3 linked regions of the Saccharomyces cerevisiae S288C genome follow. The gene in region 2 interacts genetically with the main gene of each other region. Each region holds a gene or a part of one and is shown on either strand. Other genes may lie near its edges.

Region 1 (8,088 bases), on a different chromosome or scaffold from region 2:
GATATTAGGGAAACATTGGGTCCTCAGGGCATGACACCCAAGGCTCTCGAGAGGTTTACTCAATTGTACAAGACTTCGTCACTGCTGGACCCAAAGGTGCCTGCGGCGGTACTAGCGCAACTCGTCCTGAAAGGTATTCCCGACTCTTTGAACGGTCAATATCTCCGCTACAACGATGAGCGACTGGGGCCGGTGCAGGGCTAGTACTAAACTATATTATGTAAAAGGGTATAGTTATAGTTTTTAGCTACTAAACTTTTATTGGGTTTGCGATGAGCGACAGTTTTGTGCGGCCATTTCTGTGCCAAGAACCGGATTGAATGTATCACCGAAGGAATTCCGCGGTGTTTTCAAAGAAATGAAGAGAAGACAGTATGAACATTAACTTTTGCATATATATACGTAAACGAAAAAGATCAAGTGCAATGGAAGAATATTGTACCTAAAAAAAAGGGTCTAACTACAGCGTGTAACAGGTTAAAAAAACATGGGTAAAGTTATTTTAGTTACAGGTGTTTCCAGAGGTATCGGTAAGTCCATCGTGGATGTTCTTTTCAGTTTGGACAAGGACACGGTTGTTTACGGTGTAGCCAGGTCTGAGGCACCCTTGAAGAAGTTGAAAGAGAAGTATGGCGACAGGTTTTTTTACGTTGTCGGTGATATTACCGAGGATTCCGTGTTGAAGCAGTTGGTTAACGCTGCTGTTAAGGGCCACGGCAAGATCGACTCCTTGGTTGCCAACGCTGGTGTCCTAGAGCCCGTGCAAAATGTCAACGAGATTGATGTCAACGCTTGGAAGAAGCTGTATGACATCAACTTCTTCAGCATTGTTTCCTTGGTTGGCATTGCGTTACCTGAATTGAAGAAGACCAACGGTAACGTGGTATTCGTCAGTTCGGACGCCTGTAACATGTACTTCAGCAGTTGGGGAGCTTACGGTTCTTCAAAAGCCGCTCTGAACCACTTCGCCATGACTCTGGCCAACGAGGAAAGGCAAGTGAAAGCCATTGCCGTCGCCCCAGGTATTGTGGACACAGATATGCAAGTTAACATTAGGGAGAACGTGGGGCCTTCCTCCATGAGTGCAGAGCAATTGAAGATGTTTAGAGGTTTAAAGGAGAATAACCAGTTGCTGGATAGCTCTGTGCCAGCTACAGTTTATGCCAAATTGGCCCTTCATGGTATTCCTGACGGTGTTAATGGACAGTACTTGAGCTATAATGACCCTGCCTTGGCGGACTTTATGCCTTGAGGATAGCAGGTACATATAAATTGTTACATACTAAGTCGATGAGTCAAAAAAGACTCTTATACATTTATACATTTTGCATTATTATTTTTTTTTTCCAGCGGAATTTGGAATTCCGCTCTCAACCGCCAAAATTCCCCTGCGATTTCAGCGACAAAGAGTCATAAAGTCATCCTCGAGAAACCACGATGAAATATATAAAAAGCCCATCTTCCCTGACGGAAACTGGTATTTTAGGAGGCATACCATAAGATAACAACGAAAACGCTTTATTTTTCACACAACCGCAAAAATGGCTGCCGTCACATTACATCTAAGAGCTGAAACTAAACCCCTAGAGGCACGTGCTGCCTTAACACCTACCACGGTTAAAAAACTGATAGCTAAGGGCTTCAAAATATATGTAGAGGACAGTCCACAATCTACTTTCAATATTAACGAATATCGTCAAGCAGGTGCCATTATAGTGCCTGCAGGTTCATGGAAAACCGCTCCACGCGACAGAATCATTATAGGTTTGAAGGAAATGCCTGAAACCGATACTTTCCCTCTAGTCCACGAACACATCCAGTTTGCTCACTGCTACAAAGACCAAGCTGGGTGGCAAAATGTCCTTATGAGATTTATTAAGGGACACGGTACTCTATATGATTTGGAATTTTTGGAAAATGACCAAGGTAGAAGAGTTGCTGCCTTTGGATTTTACGCTGGGTTCGCAGGTGCAGCCCTTGGTGTAAGAGACTGGGCATTCAAGCAAACGCATTCTGACGATGAAGACTTGCCTGCAGTGTCGCCTTACCCCAATGAAAAGGCATTGGTTAAAGATGTTACCAAAGATTATAAAGAAGCCTTAGCCACCGGAGCCAGAAAGCCAACCGTGTTAATCATTGGTGCGCTAGGAAGATGTGGTTCCGGTGCCATCGATCTGTTGCACAAAGTTGGTATTCCAGATGCTAACATATTAAAATGGGATATCAAAGAAACTTCCCGTGGTGGTCCCTTTGACGAAATTCCACAAGCTGATATTTTTATCAATTGTATATATCTATCGAAGCCAATTGCTCCTTTCACTAACATGGAGAAACTGAATAATCCTAACAGAAGACTAAGGACCGTGGTGGACGTATCAGCAGACACTACCAACCCTCACAACCCCATCCCAATATACACTGTGGCTACTGTGTTTAACAAACCTACCGTTCTGGTACCTACCACTGCCGGGCCTAAATTATCTGTCATCTCTATTGATCACTTGCCTTCTTTGCTGCCAAGAGAAGCTTCAGAATTTTTCTCTCATGATCTCTTACCATCTTTAGAGCTCCTACCTCAAAGAAAAACTGCTCCTGTCTGGGTTAGAGCCAAGAAATTGTTCGATAGACATTGCGCTCGTGTTAAAAGATCTTCAAGATTGTAGTTTACATTTAAAGTATATACATTATCGTTACGCTGACATTTACAAGTTTAATTTTTTTTTGACTTTTTTTAAATGACTTTCTCTTCTTTTAAGTGTACTGTCTTTTCATTATACACACATATATATATATATATACGTAAAAAAGCAGACTAACTGACAATTAAATCGTTCAACATTCTTGTTGTTTGCAGGTTTGATAATTTTGACCTGAATGCAGTTTTCATCCTTTCATTTCCCAGCAAGAACTTTGCTAATGCAATTCTCAAGTACTCTGAGATTAATTCGCTTATATGATTGATGGAACTATCTTGGTTGCCAAATTTGTACATGATGAACCATGTCAAAAGTAGTAGTGTTAAGGGTATCCAGAAAAATATTAACATTTTATCATTTCGGAAGTTTTGTTTGTTTTGGAAGAATCTGTTAAACTGTTTTTTCAAAAATTCTTCCTCTTCCTCATAATCCTCTTCCTCCGAATTTTCAGAGTTTTCAATATTAGATGCTGACTGCTCCACAATACTGTCTTGATTTGTGGTTTTCAATTTATCATCTTTACCCCAAGACAACGGGAACAGATCCTCATATTTTGGTAAGTCATCATTAATTCGATGTAAAACTCTATTCCAGAGAGATGTACTACCATTATCCTCTTCGGGTTCGTTGGCGCTAGATCCAATATCAAGGAGTTCGCTTTGTTCCTCCCTGCATGCAACACCTGGTTTTTCTACTTCGTCAGTGACGAACAGATCTTCATCCCCGTCTTCTTCGAAATCACTTTGGTCGTACTCAGAGTAACTTGAATTCTCAAATAGTTGCAAGGTTGGATGCTGAATCTCCATAGAAGTGGGATTTATCATGCTTTGGCTTTCGAATAAGTTCTCATTCAAAGATTCATTGTCTAGCAGGCTTGAATTGAAACTGGATTGTGAATATTTCCTGCTAATAGAATAATTACTGTCTGTTTCTACACTATCGGTAAACTTCGTACCGTTTTGGAATTCTTCAAACAATGACAATACTTCGCTGATATAAGTGTCATTATGAACAAACTTATGGTTGTCTCTGTTATCTTGTTTTTTGTCTATTTCCTTTGAATGAATGTGGTTTGCTATGAATACTTCTCTTGCAGTTAATCCGTTGTGTGACCTCAGTGAATAATTTACTTTACAATTTAAAAGCATCTTAATAATTTTAGGGTCACCACTTATGCAAGCAAAATGTAATGGAGTTAGCCCAAAGGAATCAATATCGTTAACACGAGCACCCTTTTTAATCAATGTATACACAAGGCTTGAGTAATTTTTCAAACAGGCAAGATGTAATAAAGTTCTCCCTAATGAATCACATATGGAAATATTGGAATTTATGTTCAATGATTTTATAACTTTTTGTATCAAGACTTCATCGGAGTAAAGAACACTTGTGTTCAGATTCATACTGTGTTGGTTTGGAGAGGGACCTGTGCTTTTTGAACAGCTGTTGCCATTTGTACCGCTATCAGGAGAATCATTGCCAACAATCCTCTTCGCGATATTTCTTGCATCTTCTAACTTACCATTCATTTTTAATCCCACAATTTGCAAAGCCAATTCAATCAGTTGCCTATCAGTATCATCAACATAGGTAAATATGGCCTTTTTATTGTCATTGATCTCAATTTCTTGGGGAAGGTCATCGTTATTATTTTCATTATTCGTATCAGTAATAGAGACGAAAACTTGACCCGCGTAGGCAGCGGGAGGGAGATAAGTGACGATCGTGGTCTCACTCCAGCATTGCGTAGAAAGGGCAAGATTAGAGCCGAACTTTACAGAAAGACCATCTTTGAAGTTACAACCCAGTAATGTAACTTCGATACCACCATTGATTGGGCCTTGTGAAGGTATAACGCGATTAATTGATGGCAAATTATTGTTGTTGTTTTTCATTGAGAAATCTTGCATTGAATGTAAAGCTGGATTCATCGTATTTGTTGCACTGATTGAATTTGAAAAGGAATGCTTGAATAGGGGTTTACCAATGTCATTTTCCAAATTATTGCGTGCTCTTTTCCGTTGGTTCAATTGACTCTGTTGTTCAATATTTGTCAAAGAGATAGTACGGACGGGATTGTCATTATCGCGATGATGATAGTTAAATGATTCTGAGCCTTCTTCGCTCATAGATGTTGGTGATGGAATATGCTGATTGGGCAGAGAAAGGTTCAGTGATAAGTTATTGTTCTGAAGCAAATCTGTCTGTTGAGAGATGGAATATGGGAATGGTACGTTTTTGTCTTTCAGTGGAATATTATTCATTTGACTGTCATTATCATATGGGTTGTGTTGATAAGTATATTGAAATGGCATATTTTCGTCTTTGCTCAATTGGTTGTTATCCGTTGAATAATATTCTGTGGTAGATTCTTCTTCCGTTAGCTGCCTTCTGGACGAGGTAGTAGTGTTATTAAACTTGGTGGTATCCATATTTGCTGGTTTTCTATCCGTGATCATAATAGGTGTTGTCGTAAACTTACCCAACAGTCTATTTTGCCAATCTGTTATAGTGAATAATATGACAAAGCCATTATTTGCCTTATGGTGCCTGCAATAACAAACTAGCCTGGTAGTTAATTCAAACTCCTTAACATTATCGAAAGTTTTCATTATGGGGAAAACCTGTTTGTTATTGAACACGACTAACCTTCTATTAATATTATTACACCAGAGTAAATTGTCTGCAATACCTGATTTCCTTCTAGCGGCTCTTCTTTGTTCTCGCTTAACACACTTGGTACAAACATTTGTCGTTCTGTTGCTGACCGCACATAGAACAAACGCATTGATGTACAGAAGATTTTTCTTGAAGTCTTCTGAAAAATCCTCGATATTTTTTTTTAAATAAAACTTTTCTCTTGAAATGGAATCGCTAGGCAAGTAAAGCATGCTTTGGTTTAGTGGTGTTTCAGACGTAATTTTCACTTTCAGTTTCAGTTGATTTTCCACTCTAGATACTTGTGGCAAACCTGAGACCTCTACATCCAAAGGTAGCTGCGCTGCGTTCACTTTAAGGTAATCTAAAGGATTTATGTAAACAGATTGAATCGTCTCCTTTCTTCCAAATACAATCTCGTCATGAGCAGGGTTGCCTATATTTTTTTCATTAAAAACCTTATTTTCATGCTCGTCCTCTTCTTCCTCCTTCAAGGCTCTGTTACTTTCCATTTCCTCCTCCAGTGGAGTGGACACGTTTTGGTTGACATGAGTATTGTTACCGATACCTTCGAAAGACAACAGGTTGGGCGAATCACCCTCATCTGTCTTGATAAAATTTTGGAAATTAGCACCCTCATCAATATTAATATGCGCCATGCTATCATCCTGGTACATGGGAGACCCGTTCAGGAGGAAATCGTCCAAGAGCTGTGATTCCATTACGCTATTCGCGTGCAATTGAGATATATGAGGGTCGCTTCCAGGTGTTTCCGTTAAGAACTCACTGTTCTGCTGCATAACGAAATGTTCTGTTCGCCAAAATGACCTTCAATAAGTGCCTTTAAATGCACAATAAGGGGGGGAAGCAGGATCTAGTCTTAACGACCCCAAGAACGACTGTTGATCAAGCGCCGCTGTCCTTTTAAAAGGCTTTCGGCGGCTGTATTTTCTGGTTTAGAGCTCACCCATTTGAAAATGTTGAGTTTTTTGTCATGATCCACGATATAAAAAGAAATACGACATTTCTAGGGTAACATCAGAATGCCCTTGCTTTTATTGTTAGGGTTATTTTCAAAAGTAGAATTTTGGAAATAAGTCCTAGCCTTTTTGTAACACTAACCCTGAGACAAAGTGCCAGATAAGATAAGATGGATTGGCAAATAAATGGGGAAAGATAAGCGAGGTAAGACTGATAAGAAGCATATGCGGTCTATTCATGTGCATTCGCATATATAAGTCAGTAACTGTCATCCAATCGCTCTTGATGCTTATCTTGTAGGGCAAAAAATCTTTGAAGCAAAGATATGGTGACCGTGGTGGCGGAGACATTGACGAAAGAGTCCTTCGAGGAGTATGGGACGATAATTTCGCCAGATGAAGAGATTTCAAGGATGCAAAACCTTGAAAAAGGTGCAAACCAGGGAACAGCGATCAAATTGCTTCAAGTAAGCCAGGTAGAGAATAAATCTACCAGTAAAGTTCCCAATTGGAACCTATTCCGTTGCTTTCCACAGCCGCACCTGAATAGAGTATTCACTCAAGGCTCCAATCAGGCGATTTCTCATTCTATCAAAGTCCTCGAAAAGCATCCGTGTAGTACGCAGACGTTTGTGCCTATGGGGAGAACGTCAGCGGAAGTAGCATACTTGGTAGTAGTCGCTAAAGAAATTGGAAATAAGCCAGACTTGTCTACGTTGAGGGCTTTTACATGTTTGGGTAATCAGGCCGTTACCTATGGCTTAGGTACCTGGCATGCGCCCATGATAGTACTTGGCAAGGAAGAACATTTGGATTTTTCAGTCTTAATCTACGAAAGTCTGGACCCTGACAGGCCCGAGAAGGACTGTGTGGAAGAACACTACAGCGATGGCGACGTTTGTATTATCATCTAATTCTGCGACTGTGGGCGAAGTAAATATGTAAATGTTCATGTATTAGTAATTTCATAGGTTTACGATTATCGACATAAAATCTCCGCTGAAAGTTGCGGTGCGATAGAATACCGCGGATTTTGGAAAATTGCGTTTGCTTTTCTTATCACATAAATTGAATTTCATAAGTTTTGGCTTATCTTGGATAAGGTACATCGTGAAAGTATCACAAAGATTGGATAGTTTCGTCAATTGGTGAAGCAATAAGTATAAAATGGGGACATTTACGCATGTAGTCTTAATTCTTCACTTTCTGTGCAGTTGATATCACTTAGAGTATGTGTCATAGGCACGGTAAAGAGCACTGAACAATGGTGAAGATAAGCTTGGACAACACTGCTCTATACGCAGACATCGACACGACTCCTCAATTTGAACCTTCCAAAACTACTGTAGCTGATATTTTAACAAAAGATGCCTTAGAGTTCATTGTTTTGCTGCATAGAACTTTCAATTCAACACGGAAACAGCTTTTAGCCAACAGAAGCAATTTACAATCAAAGTTAGACTCTGGTGAATACCGATTTGATTTCTTGCCGGAAACCGAACAAATCAGGAACGATCCTACATGGCAAGGTGCTATCCCAGCCCCTGGTTTGATCAACAGATCCAGCGAGATTACTGGGCCACCATTGAGAAATATGTTAGTCAACGCTTTGAATGCTGAAGTAACGACATATATGACTGATTTCGAGGACTCTTCATCTCCAACTTGGGAGAACATGATTTACGGACAAGTTAATCTTTATGATGCCATTAGAAATCAAATCGATTTCAAGACACCAAGAAAGGAGTACAGGT
Region 2 (7,357 bases):
CACTACCCTAAAAAGGCTTTTGAATAACAAACAGTTAGCACTAAAATTATTGGCGAATGTCACCTACGGTTATACATCAGCTTCATTTTCTGGACGAATGCCATGCTCTGATTTAGCTGATAGCATTGTACAAACAGGCAGAGAAACATTGGAGAAAGCAATAGATATTATTGAGAAAGATGAAACTTGGAACGCCAAAGTTGTCTATGGAGACACAGATAGTTTATTTGTATATCTACCTGGAAAAACTGCTATTGAGGCTTTTTCTATAGGACATGCTATGGCAGAAAGAGTTACTCAAAACAATCCAAAACCAATCTTTTTGAAGTTTGAAAAAGTATACCATCCCTCCATATTAATTAGCAAAAAAAGGTACGTAGGATTTTCCTATGAAAGTCCTTCGCAGACCCTTCCTATTTTTGATGCTAAGGGTATTGAAACTGTTAGAAGGGATGGTATCCCAGCCCAGCAGAAGATTATTGAAAAATGTATTCGATTACTTTTTCAAACCAAAGACCTGTCAAAAATAAAAAAGTATCTTCAAAATGAATTTTTTAAGATTCAAATAGGAAAGGTATCTGCCCAAGATTTTTGTTTTGCAAAAGAAGTTAAATTAGGAGCGTATAAAAGCGAAAAGACAGCCCCTGCAGGTGCCGTGGTTGTAAAAAGAAGAATAAATGAAGACCATAGAGCAGAACCCCAATACAAGGAGCGTATACCTTACCTTGTTGTTAAAGGAAAGCAAGGACAACTGCTTCGGGAAAGATGCGTATCACCAGAAGAGTTCTTAGAAGGTGAGAATTTAGAGTTAGATTCGGAGTATTATATAAACAAAATTCTGATACCTCCTCTTGATAGATTGTTCAATTTGATTGGTATAAATGTTGGCAACTGGGCTCAGGAAATAGTAAAATCCAAAAGGGCGAGCACAACTACTACAAAAGTGGAAAACATAACAAGAGTAGGAACTTCTGCAACATGTTGTAATTGTGGTGAAGAATTGACTAAAATATGTTCACTTCAGTTATGTGATGACTGTTTAGAGAAAAGAAGCACCACAACCTTATCATTTCTCATAAAGAAATTAAAGAGACAAAAAGAATACCAAACACTAAAGACCGTGTGCAGGACGTGCAGTTATCGTTACACTTCCGATGCAGGCATCGAAAATGACCATATAGCTAGTAAATGCAATTCATATGACTGTCCAGTATTTTACTCTCGTGTCAAAGCAGAAAGATACTTGAGAGATAATCAATCTGTTCAAAGGGAAGAAGCATTAATATCTCTAAATGATTGGTAATCTAGACACAGATATGTCTCGCAAAATGATGAGTAGTTATTTGTTTCTATGTATAACGTTGTTATATACAAGAAAGAAAAAAATCATTTCTTTGATTCTTGACGTTGAGATAGACGGTATCTATAATATGCAAAAAAGGAGGCCAGCAATGCTGAGAGTGAAATAAGGAATCTCTTTGAATTAGTGAAAGACTTTTGAGGAATCTTCGTATCCTCTAAGAGTGGATTGCTACTTTGAAAAACTACAATTTTATTATTATCGTATAAGTTCCCCACACATTTCCAACCTTTTAATTCGATCTCATTAATTTCGTTCAAAACTCTATCTGGTGGGGACCCAGATGCATTAATAACGCCAAATAAGTCCGTAAAATTGATGTTAAAGACACTGTGATCAAAGTTGTTTGACAGGGTCATATCCTTATTGTTTTCTAATGAGTGTAACAATATGTTATTCCCTTGAAGTACTTTTTTAGTAGTTTTACTCTTTTTTCCTCCTCCGTTTGAACCTAAAAATACACTTATTCCATTTTGTAAACGTTTCCATAAGCGATTGGGTTCCCTTTTGAATAAGATATTTCCAGCTGATAAGGGTACTATTTCGGAGAAGGATTGAGTATTCCATTGATATATACGAGCTTGATTCTTTTTTTGTTTATCGATGGCACTTTTTTGACGTGCCTTCTTTTCAATATTTTGTAGATAGCGTTTTAGGGAGTTTATATCGATATCTACGTGGTTTTGTTGCGAGGCACCCACTGAAGTCCTGCTTTCCTCATTTTTCTGTAAGTAAAGTGATATTTTCTGATAAACCTCCTCATCATTACACATATCTAAGTTCAAAGAGTGTAGAAGTTCCTTAATATGCATCTTCCTGCTCGGGTGAAGATCCATATTCTCTGCTTTTCGATTTCTTAGTTCAACTTTCTTCTTTTCTTCCTGCGGTGTTATGTCTCGAGGAATAGCAACATTGACAGGACCGGCTGCCAGGTTCATTCCTTCTAATATGTCTTTGTCTGTTAATCGATGTGTTAGTAATAATTTGTTAAGAATTTGCACGTTAGTTTGGAGAGGATTTATCGCGTTCTTCTTACCTTCTCCTTTATATCCGCGCACTAGACTTGTTATGAGATTAATTTCCATTGCAGAAAACTTGGTCTTACCTTTGCCCATGGCAGACTGGTATATTGTGTTTTTGAAGGCCTTTATACGCACTGAATCAGGAGTTTTTGAGTCAAATATATTAAATACATTCCGTCCTCCAAATTTTGCACCTCCACTTCTTGCATGAGATACTGTTCGTACGCAATTCATGCCCATGTTGAATGCCAAGCACTTCATTTTTTTCAGCGATGCAGATGTGTATAAAACTGTCATTTTGAACAGTACTTCCTCCTTCCTTTAAGTTGAATGGAACCAAGTTTATTCCACCAAAGCTCAGAAAAGAAGCAAAGAACAGAAAATTTCTACGAATATTAATTCTGAAGAAACTTAAACGCGGCTTCAAAAGCTAGAAATCCATGCCCACTTGCCTTTCGTAGAGGATTCTAACGATAAATATACCTACAGATTATACTGTTATATAAGATCATCATTACCCGTCTTCCTTTTTTTTCCAGAAGAAAATTTCAGTAAGAGCTGAATTGAGTATGTAGAAAAAAAAATAGTAACAGACTGTTGAAGACATACTTACTCTAAGAAGGAAGAGTAAAATAAATCGTTAAAAATTCTGCATCGCTAATAGCAGCAAAAAAAATGAGCGGATTTCACAATGTTGGAAATATCAATATGATGGCTCAACAGCAGATGCAACAAAATAGAATAAAGATTAGCGTGAGGAACTGGCAGAATGCAACCATGAACGATTTGATTAATTTTATAAGCCGCAACGCTCGAGTAGCTGTTTATGACGCTCATGTGGAAGGACCTTTAGTTATTGGATATGTCAACTCAAAGGCAGAAGCAGAATCGTTAATGAAATGGAACGGTGTCCGGTTTGCAGGCAGTAATTTAAAGTTCGAACTTTTAGATAACAATGGGGCCTCTGCGGGAACTTCAGACACCATTTCGTTCTTGAGGGGGGTGCTCCTTAAGAGGTATGACCCACAAACAAAATTACTAAATTTGGGCGCTTTACATTCAGATCCCGAGCTAATTCAAAAGGGCGTCTTTAGTTCCATCTCCACCCAGTCTAAGATGTTTCCAGCAATGATGAAACTGGCTTCTACAGAAAAAAGTTTGATAGTGGAAAGTGTCAATCTTGCTGACAACCAACTTAAGGACATCTCAGCAATTTCCACATTGGCTCAAACATTTCCTAATTTGAAAAACCTCTGTCTGGCCAACAATCAGATTTTTAGATTTAGATCGCTAGAAGTTTGGAAGAACAAATTCAAAGATCTAAGAGAGCTTTTGATGACAAATAACCCGATAACCACCGATAAGTTGTATCGCACTGAAATGTTAAGATTATTTCCGAAATTGGTTGTACTAGATAACGTGATTGTGAGAGACGAACAAAAATTGCAAACCGTTTACTCATTACCGATGAAGATTCAACAGTTTTTTTTCGAAAACGATGCATTAGGGCAATCATCTACAGACTTTGCAACTAACTTTTTGAATCTATGGGATAATAATAGAGAACAACTGTTAAATTTGTATTCGCCCCAATCCCAGTTTTCTGTTTCCGTGGATTCTACTATTCCTCCATCTACGGTAACAGATTCGGACCAAACTCCAGCATTTGGTTATTACATGTCGTCCTCACGTAATATATCCAAAGTGTCCAGTGAAAAATCTATCCAGCAGAGATTGTCAATCGGGCAAGAGTCCATTAATAGTATATTCAAGACTTTGCCGAAAACAAAGCACCATTTACAAGAACAACCCAATGAATACTCAATGGAAACAATTAGTTATCCTCAAATAAATGGGTTCGTTATTACGTTGCACGGATTTTTTGAAGAGACTGGCAAGCCTGAACTGGAATCCAATAAAAAAACGGGGAAAAATAACTATCAAAAGAATAGAAGATACAATCATGGTTACAACTCCACATCAAATAATAAGTTATCCAAAAAATCCTTTGATAGAACCTGGGTAATTGTTCCAATGAATAATAGTGTCATAATCGCATCTGATCTGTTAACTGTAAGAGCGTATTCCACAGGCGCTTGGAAAACTGCATCTATTGCAATAGCACAGCCTCCACAGCAACAGGCCTCGGTCCTACCACAGGTCGCAAGCATGAACCCAAATATAACGACACCACCGCAGCCACAACCTTCAGTGGTACCAGGAGGGATGAGCATTCCCGGCGCACCCCAAGGAGCCATGGTCATGGCTCCCACTTTGCAACTACCTCCAGATGTCCAGTCGCGGCTAAATCCCGTACAACTCGAGCTGCTGAATAAACTACATTTGGAAACGAAATTGAATGCAGAATACACGTTTATGTTGGCCGAGCAAAGTAACTGGAACTATGAAGTTGCCATAAAGGGTTTTCAGAGTAGCATGAATGGCATCCCTAGAGAAGCATTTGTGCAGTTCTAATGATATTGTTCCCTGTTTCAGCCGCACAGTATCACAAAAAATATACAGTTTAAGCTACTGTTTTCGTCACGTTCCGAACAGCAGCATGCTTTGTATATTTTGTACTAATTCATAAATAAGTAATTATTTCTATACAACCGTTATATAGAAGATTTTTTCAAAATATAGATATGTATATGTATACATATATCATCGTCCACCACGCCCCTTCCTTTTTCCCTTTCCTTGGTGTTTGCTATTAATAAATAATGTGCGGAGCTCAATCGTCATACGTTCACGCCAGGCTCCGGAATCAGAGTACCAATGCATGGGTACTTATTCTCAAAATGCTCTTGCCACTCATCCAGTGCGTCAATCTGTTCTTTTGTCAGATCATCTAAGGGATCGATAGGCTGATCCCAATCTTTAATAACGTCCAGATCGAAGGAGTTCAATGCAAGACCACGCGACGCATCATGGCCTGCAAAGTTAGTGTATGGCCCGCTTGGACCGTAAAACTGCCTCCCTCTTGTGCAGTCGTATACTTTGCCCCTAATAGCAATAAATATTTTTTCATCGTCGTGGCCGTTAAATTTGGAAAGCGTCCTAGGAAAGAAATTACCCGCTACTACCGGTTCACTACCTTTATTAGAATCGTTTGTGTTTGAGGCCCCGTTACCTGTGAGCCCGGTTGGATCCTCACTTGTTTTAACACCTCCAAATAACAAGTTTTTAATGAAGGACATTTGTTCTCTATAATATTCCGATGTACGTGTGTGTGGCTGATGAGATTTAGACTGGTTAGACTATTTGACGCGTCTATTATAGCTTACTGCAACAAGAAAATGATCGTTGATATATAAACTCTCAGATGTATATATCGTTCTGGAAACATCGAGCATAATACAATACAATTCAACAAAAATGCGAGAAGGCACTGATGTCTTGTCGTTAAAGAACCAAAAACGCGGACACTACGACCGTCTTATTTCCGGTAGAAAAAGGGTACATACAGTTGAAGGAACGAAGAAAATTAAAATTAGAAAAAAAAGTAAAATAAAACAAGGAAGGTAGGGTAATATGGTCTCGTTTCCTTTGTCGCTCCGCAAATAAAGGAGCTTATTCCCGCACGCTCACATGGTAATTTGCGCCAAATCACGGATGTGGAAAACTGATCACGTGCTTCGATCGCCAACTACTGAGCGTCGTCCCACACTGATCTGGCACAGCTTACCTCGCCTTGAAAATTTTAATCTGTCCTGCTCGTTTGTTGTATATTGCTTCTTCTCAGAATATGCCCGCGATAACTGACAAAGAGGGTTCGACGTTTCAGAGATTCTACTCTTGACCACTGTTTCGTGTAGCCGCTCAAGGTTTATTTCTTTCTTCTTTAATGTTCTTGGCACTTAGGCGGCTCCGTCCTCCGTCTGAAATTGCCGATCCTATTATTTGCGGAGGGCTCCTTAGAAGGGCTCCTTAGTAAGCAGTTTGCGTTCCTGATATAACTCCGTTCAGAACAAGGATAAAGTCGCAATAACCATTACTAAGCACAGTGTTGTAAGTAGGACAACTCGAACCTATATAAGGGTTGTGAACTGTGCTTGATTCTTGCCCATCATATGCAAAAAAGTACGTACTTGATATATACAACAACTGTAGTTCAGTATAGCGAAGTTTAAATTTAGAAGATGCCATTTGTAAAAGGTTTTGAGCCGATCTCCCTAAGAGACACAAACCTTTTTGAACCAATTAAGATTGGTAACACTCAGCTTGCACATCGTGCGGTTATGCCCCCATTGACCAGAATGAGGGCCACTCACCCCGGAAATATTCCAAATAAGGAGTGGGCTGCTGTGTATTATGGTCAGCGTGCTCAAAGACCTGGTACCATGATCATCACGGAAGGTACGTTTATTTCCCCTCAAGCCGGCGGCTATGACAACGCCCCTGGGATTTGGTCTGATGAGCAGGTCGCTGAGTGGAAGAATATCTTTTTAGCCATCCATGATTGTCAGTCGTTCGCGTGGGTACAACTTTGGTCTTTAGGCTGGGCATCCTTCCCAGACGTATTGGCAAGAGACGGGTTACGCTATGACTGTGCATCTGACAGAGTGTATATGAATGCTACGTTACAAGAAAAGGCCAAAGATGCGAATAATCTCGAACATAGTTTGACTAAAGACGACATTAAACAGTATATCAAGGATTACATCCATGCGGCTAAGAATTCTATCGCGGCTGGCGCCGATGGTGTAGAAATTCATAGCGCCAATGGGTACTTGTTGAATCAGTTCTTGGATCCACATTCTAATAAGAGGACCGACGAATACGGCGGAACGATCGAAAACAGGGCCCGCTTTACACTGGAGGTTGTCGATGCTCTTATCGAAACTATCGGTCCTGAACGGGTGGGTTTGAGGTTGTCGCCGTACGGCACTTTTAACAGTATGTCTGGGGGTGCTGAACCAGGTATTATCGCTCAATATTCGTATGTTTTGGGTGAATTAGAGAAGAGGGCAAA
Region 3 (5,355 bases), on a different chromosome or scaffold from region 2:
TTGAATATATCACTTTTATCACTATGTAAAAAAACTGAGTTATATTATTAAGTTTTTTTTGAAATGTTCCCGTTTGACGTGTATTTAGTACAGTATGTTCCGTGGATACTGTTTAGGTGCATTTAAGCGCTCCAGAACTCTCCTTTAAATTCCTGCAGCACTCCGTCAGTTGCTTCGTAAATCCGCCTGGATACCGCCTTGAAGATTAAAGTTCCCCTCAGTACTCGTTTAGCTTGAATCCACCGCATTATGGCCTGGTAAATTCCCTAGTTGCTTTTTTCTATACGGCGTCGTCCCTGGAAAAAAAAAACTTGCCTACAGATCTTAGTAGACAAATTTAACTACGTCAATCTATTGTTCTGCTTAAAAAAAAAGTTGAAATTGTTAAATCCTCAACAAACTTATCGCTTTTCAAGCTGCTGCAATCATAGATCTTACACTTCTACACAGAATTTTTTTTTCCTGTAAAAAGAACGACAAAATATATAAACCTTTGACAATCTAGCTGCATTTACTCACATTAAGCCTTGAGATTTTCATTTACTTCATAATAGCTTGTAGATGCGATGCTGATACAGTAAAATAAAAATTCAGTAATACAGTCAAATTATTGCGATGAATTTTAAAATACTCCTCCCGATTTGTGCTTTATTGACACTTACAACATTTCTGTTGACCATTATTGCAACTGCGGGTTCTACCTCAAATTATAAGCCAATAACGAACATTTATATCGGTGATGCTGATATATCAAAAATCAACGTTACAAAAGTTATGCCACAAGTTGGCCCAATTTTGACTGTGTTAGGTTCTGCTCTAACCGCTCCAAATACAACGGTGGATACCATCTTCGGCGCTCTTAAGGCAATCGCTTCTACCGAAGCCTTGTCTCCTTTACTGCACTTGTTGTCTAATGCTGCTAACACTTCAGCCACATTATCATCTTTGACACAGTTGGCTCCAATGGCTTTGCTAGGAACCAATACCGCTACTACCACGACCTTCTCCGCTCTTGATGAGTTATTGACTACCTCTAAAAACACAACCGAACTCTTGGATGGGTTTAGCACATTGATGTCATCTATGTCAACCAACACTTCTTCTACTTCGGCTTCCTTAGAAAATACTGTTCTAACCCTATTAGTGGATTCGACCAATCCTATAGGCACTACTGAGTCTTTGATCACTTTAAATAATATGACCACAGAAGAAAAGACAAAATTGTCGCCTGTATTCGAGTTATTCGCAAGTTCCAAGAACATTACTGCCACATGCGATGCGTTAGAAACCATAATGAACTCTACCATTCCAACTTCAACGGTCTCCTCATTGTTTTCTAGTCTAAAAACCAGTCTTGCGGAAGGTGGCAATGCTACTGAAACTATTATGCAATTAGGCTCCCTCGTTCCTTCGAGTTTAAAACCAGCTGTCCAAGCTGTTGTTACTCTGTTTGATGAAACTACATCTCAAAATGTAACATTATCCGTATTGAGCACTATGATTGCCGAAAACATTACCCAATCATCTTCCGCTAAAGCTGCCATGGGTGCTTTGACTGACTTGTTGAATTACACTACAAACCAAACAGAGCTGCTAACATCTGTCGAAAGTTTGGCCCTCTCTAAAGAAGCCGCTTCCTCTACTAACCAATTGGTGGCACTTGATGAAATCCTTTCTGCAAGTGCTAACGCATCCACAGTTGTTTCCATAATCCCTACTTTGGAATCCCAATTGGCCAATAACACCGTATTACTTAAGTACGTTCCATACTTGTTCAGCCTATTAGCTGCGTCAAGCGACCCCGTGTCAAGTTTCTCTTCTCTGGTTAATATCACCAAATGGGCAGAAACTAATGCCGCTACATTTATGCCCATGTTGAAAATTTTAAACTCTGCTGTAAACATGACAACTATCACACCAGAACAACTCAAGGAAATGACTCCTTCTATCCTTGAATATCTACACATCCCTGTCATATACCGTTTGTCCATTTTCACAATGTGTCGTGCTCACTTAAACAGAACAATGTACTCGTGTAGCAAGTCACACGCTGTTCAAAACATGGATTTCCGGTCGATTGTTTACAACAACATTGAAGGCTCGGACTTTAAACCTTATATGGATGCCCTGAACATCGGTAAGGACGATTTGCATTTAGATGGTGAATTACAAGACAGACAACACATGTATGTCCCAGCAGTGAAAGCAGCTTTAGCTATGAACTTAATGTGCATAATCACATCCTTCTTCTTAATGGTATTCTTGTTGCTACTAAGTAGACGTTCCGTGGTGAGTCAAAAATTATGGTTGGCATTGGGCTTTATTTCCTGTTGGATATGTATTTTCAGCGGGTTGGGAAGCACAATCTTTAGCGTCATCCTTAATATGATGAAATCCGGCTCCAAGAAGGACAATTACGATGTCATTATTTCTGGCTCTTCTCCATTTTATGGCCTAATGTGGTCTGGATTTGTATTTGCCGTCCTTGTATTTCTCTGCATTGCATACTGCTGGTGGAGCAGCAGAAAGGGAGCTGCCATCGTGGAAGCTGAGAAAGCTGTTCAAGAAAGTGACTCTACTACCTCAAGAATCATTGAAGAACACGAAAGCCCCATTGATGCTGAAAAAAACTTTGCAAGGTAAAATAATAAAAAGAAGATCATGCAACATCACCCCGTAAATTTTTTCAATTCTCCATCCTTTTAATTTTCTTCATTATAATTTTCTGAATTGTATATAGACAATATATTTTAATCATATTTAATATGAAACGGAACACAAAAATTAATTAATAACCTTGCCTTTTTCAAATTCAAATCAATGGTTTTTCCTCAATTGGAGCGTTCGCATAGATGACGGTGGGCCTCGATCTCACGCTACACCATAGAATGAAATTCAGTAATGCTCCAACGACAGCCCCCCACATCAAACCCTGGTAGTTCCTACCAATGCTCATTGAAATACCGTAATCACTATAGTTATGCTTTAGGATGTATTTGATGTATGAGTAAGTGCCCAAACACGAACCTATACTGACTAATAGGGCGGCAAAGGCGAAAAATGAAAAAAAGGCACCAAACCACGTTAGCGGCCTTATGTGGATGATCCAGCGCAATACGTTGAACACTAGATTCACAAAGGTCAAGACAATACCAATAAGAATGGTAATGAACATACACTTGACCAAATTGTTGTAGTATGTCATTTTACTTTTTAGTTTTTCGGGCAAAACAACACTGGCCACGGAATCCATAAGCTCCAGAGCCTCATTGTTGTTGATATTGTCATACACTAATGACGATAGGTTAAAATTCTGGATACCGTGAGGCGAAGAACATGATTGGATGTTATGCGAGGAGTCCACTGTACAGTACGACCAAAGCCCTATATTTATATATGAGGGCAGGCCCAACGAAGATAGCGTAGCAGAACTCAAAGAAGGGAGCACCGTCGATACCTTCATCTGCGACAGATCCAATTCTGCACAGTAAATTTTATTTATGGGACTGTAATTTTTCGTTGATCCTGCGCATGCAACAATGGCTAATATAAGTGCTCCTAGCGAAAATATAGCTGCAAAAAATAACGTGAAAAAATTCCTCATGCTTATAGCGTCCTTCGATGATGTGTTTGTTTTTTTCTTAATAGTTCTCTATTGCTTTAATCAAGTTTCACTACTGCGCAGCGTTGTATGATCTTGATCTAGTTTCTTTTAGTTCTACTTCCAAACAACTGGTCCAGAATGAAACACCACTGGACACTCATTGACTACTGAGACATGGAAGAGCAACATTCTCGCGTATATATACTTCTCAGCCAATTTTCCTGCGAGAAGCGCTAAAAATACCGAGCTGGGCTTGGCTGATAGTACGCCCGATTTGGAAATAACGCTCGAGGCGTGCTGCGTCCTTTTTTGCCTGGCCAGGCCAGGCCGGGTTGTCCCGCACCATTCAACGGCGGCTATCTGGCGATGTTGAAAGAGGGGGGGAGTGGAGAGGGCTCTGAGGGTCAAGTGGGAGGCTGTGACAGTTCTCATAAGCTGGGCACTGAGATACATGGAAAGAAATAGGCTGTTCACAGTGTACGTCAATGTGTGGCTGACTAACCGTTAGCGGGGCGGAACCGACATGTCTGGTGCAGTGTATGTAAGAAAAAAAGAATGACAATGCATGGCCAAACTTTTGATCTGTGACGTTCGCAAAACGCACTACTTTGCTTTCTGTATGCAATGGGAATGAGGCGTAGCGACATATTAAGAAGCCTTTTCCATGTGAGGAAGCTTCGCCTTGTTTTCCAGACGCGCTTTTTTTAGGATCAACGAAGAGGAAAAAGGGTTTCACATGTTTCATCTGGAAAAGATGGAGACTGAAAAACAAAAAAGCAGAGAAAAGGTCATCCAAGATAGAATAGGGGACCTCGGCTAGGAATCAGGAAGTGTGTTTTGAAAGTCATTCTTTTTTTTTCAAAAGATGGAGTACTGGCATTATGTGGAAACTACGTCATCGGGCCAACCTCTTCTTCGAGAAGGTGAAAAAGATATCTTTATCGATCAGTCCGTAGGTCTTTACCATGGCAAATCTAAGATTCTACAGCGACAGAGGGGCAGAATCTTTTTAACGTCACAAAGAATTATCTACATCGACGATGCAAAGCCCACTCAGAACTCGCTTGGGTTGGAATTGGACGATCTAGCGTATGTAAACTATTCATCTGGCTTCTTGACCAGATCACCTCGTCTGATCCTGTTTTTCAAGGACCCCTCCAGTAAGGATGAACTTGGTAAAAGTGCGGAAACAGCAAGTGCCGACGTTGTTTCGACGTGGGTCTGCCCCATCTGTATGGTTTCGAACGAAACGCAGGGGGAATTCACTAAAGACACTCTACCTACACCCATTTGTATCAATTGCGGTGTGCCAGCGGACTATGAGCTCACCAAGTCGTCTATAAATTGTTCTAATGCAATCGACCCGAACGCCAACCCACAGAATCAGTTCGGAGTGAACTCTGAGAACATTTGCCCCGCCTGTACTTTTGCTAATCATCCTCAAATAGGAAATTGCGAGATTTGCGGCCACAGATTGCCTAATGCATCCAAAGTACGATCAAAGCTGAACAGGCTAAACTTTCATGATTCTAGGGTCCATATTGAGCTAGAAAAAAATTCACTGGCTAGAAACAAGAGCTCGCACTCGGCATTATCGTCCTCGTCCTCGACAGGATCATCGACAGAATTCGTGCAATTGAGTTTCCGCAAATCTGATGGCGTATTGTTTTCACAAGCTACAGAGAGGGCTTTGGAGAATATACTCACTGAAAAGAATAAGCATATTTTCAATCAGAATGTGGTTTCTGTAA

Evidence for each region. Genes that interact genetically often act in the same process or in processes that back each other up.
Region 1: mutations in DAP1 (region 2) and MGA2 together harm fitness more than expected from each alone (negative genetic interaction), as found in Saccharomyces cerevisiae (2 studies listed by BioGRID).
Region 3: mutations in DAP1 (region 2) and PUN1 together harm fitness more than expected from each alone (negative genetic interaction), as found in Saccharomyces cerevisiae (2 studies listed by BioGRID).

The regions. Positions count from the first base shown.
Region 1 is NC_001141.2:414,190-422,277, reverse strand, and holds MGA2 (Mga2p), read right to left. Parts: upstream 6,155-8,088; coding exon 2,813-6,154; downstream 1-2,812. Other genes in the region: sepiapterin reductase family protein IRC24, read left to right, coding at 1-204; NRE1 (sepiapterin reductase family protein), read left to right, coding at 488-1,252; LYS1 (saccharopine dehydrogenase (NAD+, L-lysine-forming)), read left to right, coding at 1,542-2,663; DAL3 (ureidoglycolate hydrolase), read left to right, coding at 6,661-7,248; malate synthase DAL7, read left to right, coding at 7,599-8,088.
Region 2 is NC_001148.4:226,539-233,895, reverse strand, and holds DAP1 (Dap1p), read right to left. Parts: upstream 5,583-7,357; coding exon 5,124-5,582; downstream 1-5,123. Other genes in the region: REV3 (DNA-directed DNA polymerase), read left to right, coding at 1-1,303; MRX4 (Mrx4p), read right to left, coding at 1,387-2,679; MEX67 (Mex67p), read left to right, coding at 3,058-4,857; OYE3 (NADPH dehydrogenase), read left to right, coding at 6,525-7,357.
Region 3 is NC_001144.5:950,541-955,895, forward strand, and holds PUN1 (Pun1p), read right to left. Parts: upstream 3,605-5,355; coding exon 2,813-3,604; downstream 1-2,812. Other genes in the region: INA1 (Ina1p), read left to right, coding at 616-2,643; YLR415C (uncharacterized protein), read right to left, coding at 3,719-4,057; ESCRT-II subunit protein VPS36, read left to right, coding at 4,470-5,355. UniProt on the Saccharomyces cerevisiae protein: Contributes to the wild-type cellular response to nitrogen stress through signaling pathways that regulate the expression of genes involved in amino acid biosynthesis. Required for wild-type filamentous growth, cell growth, and cell-cell adhesion.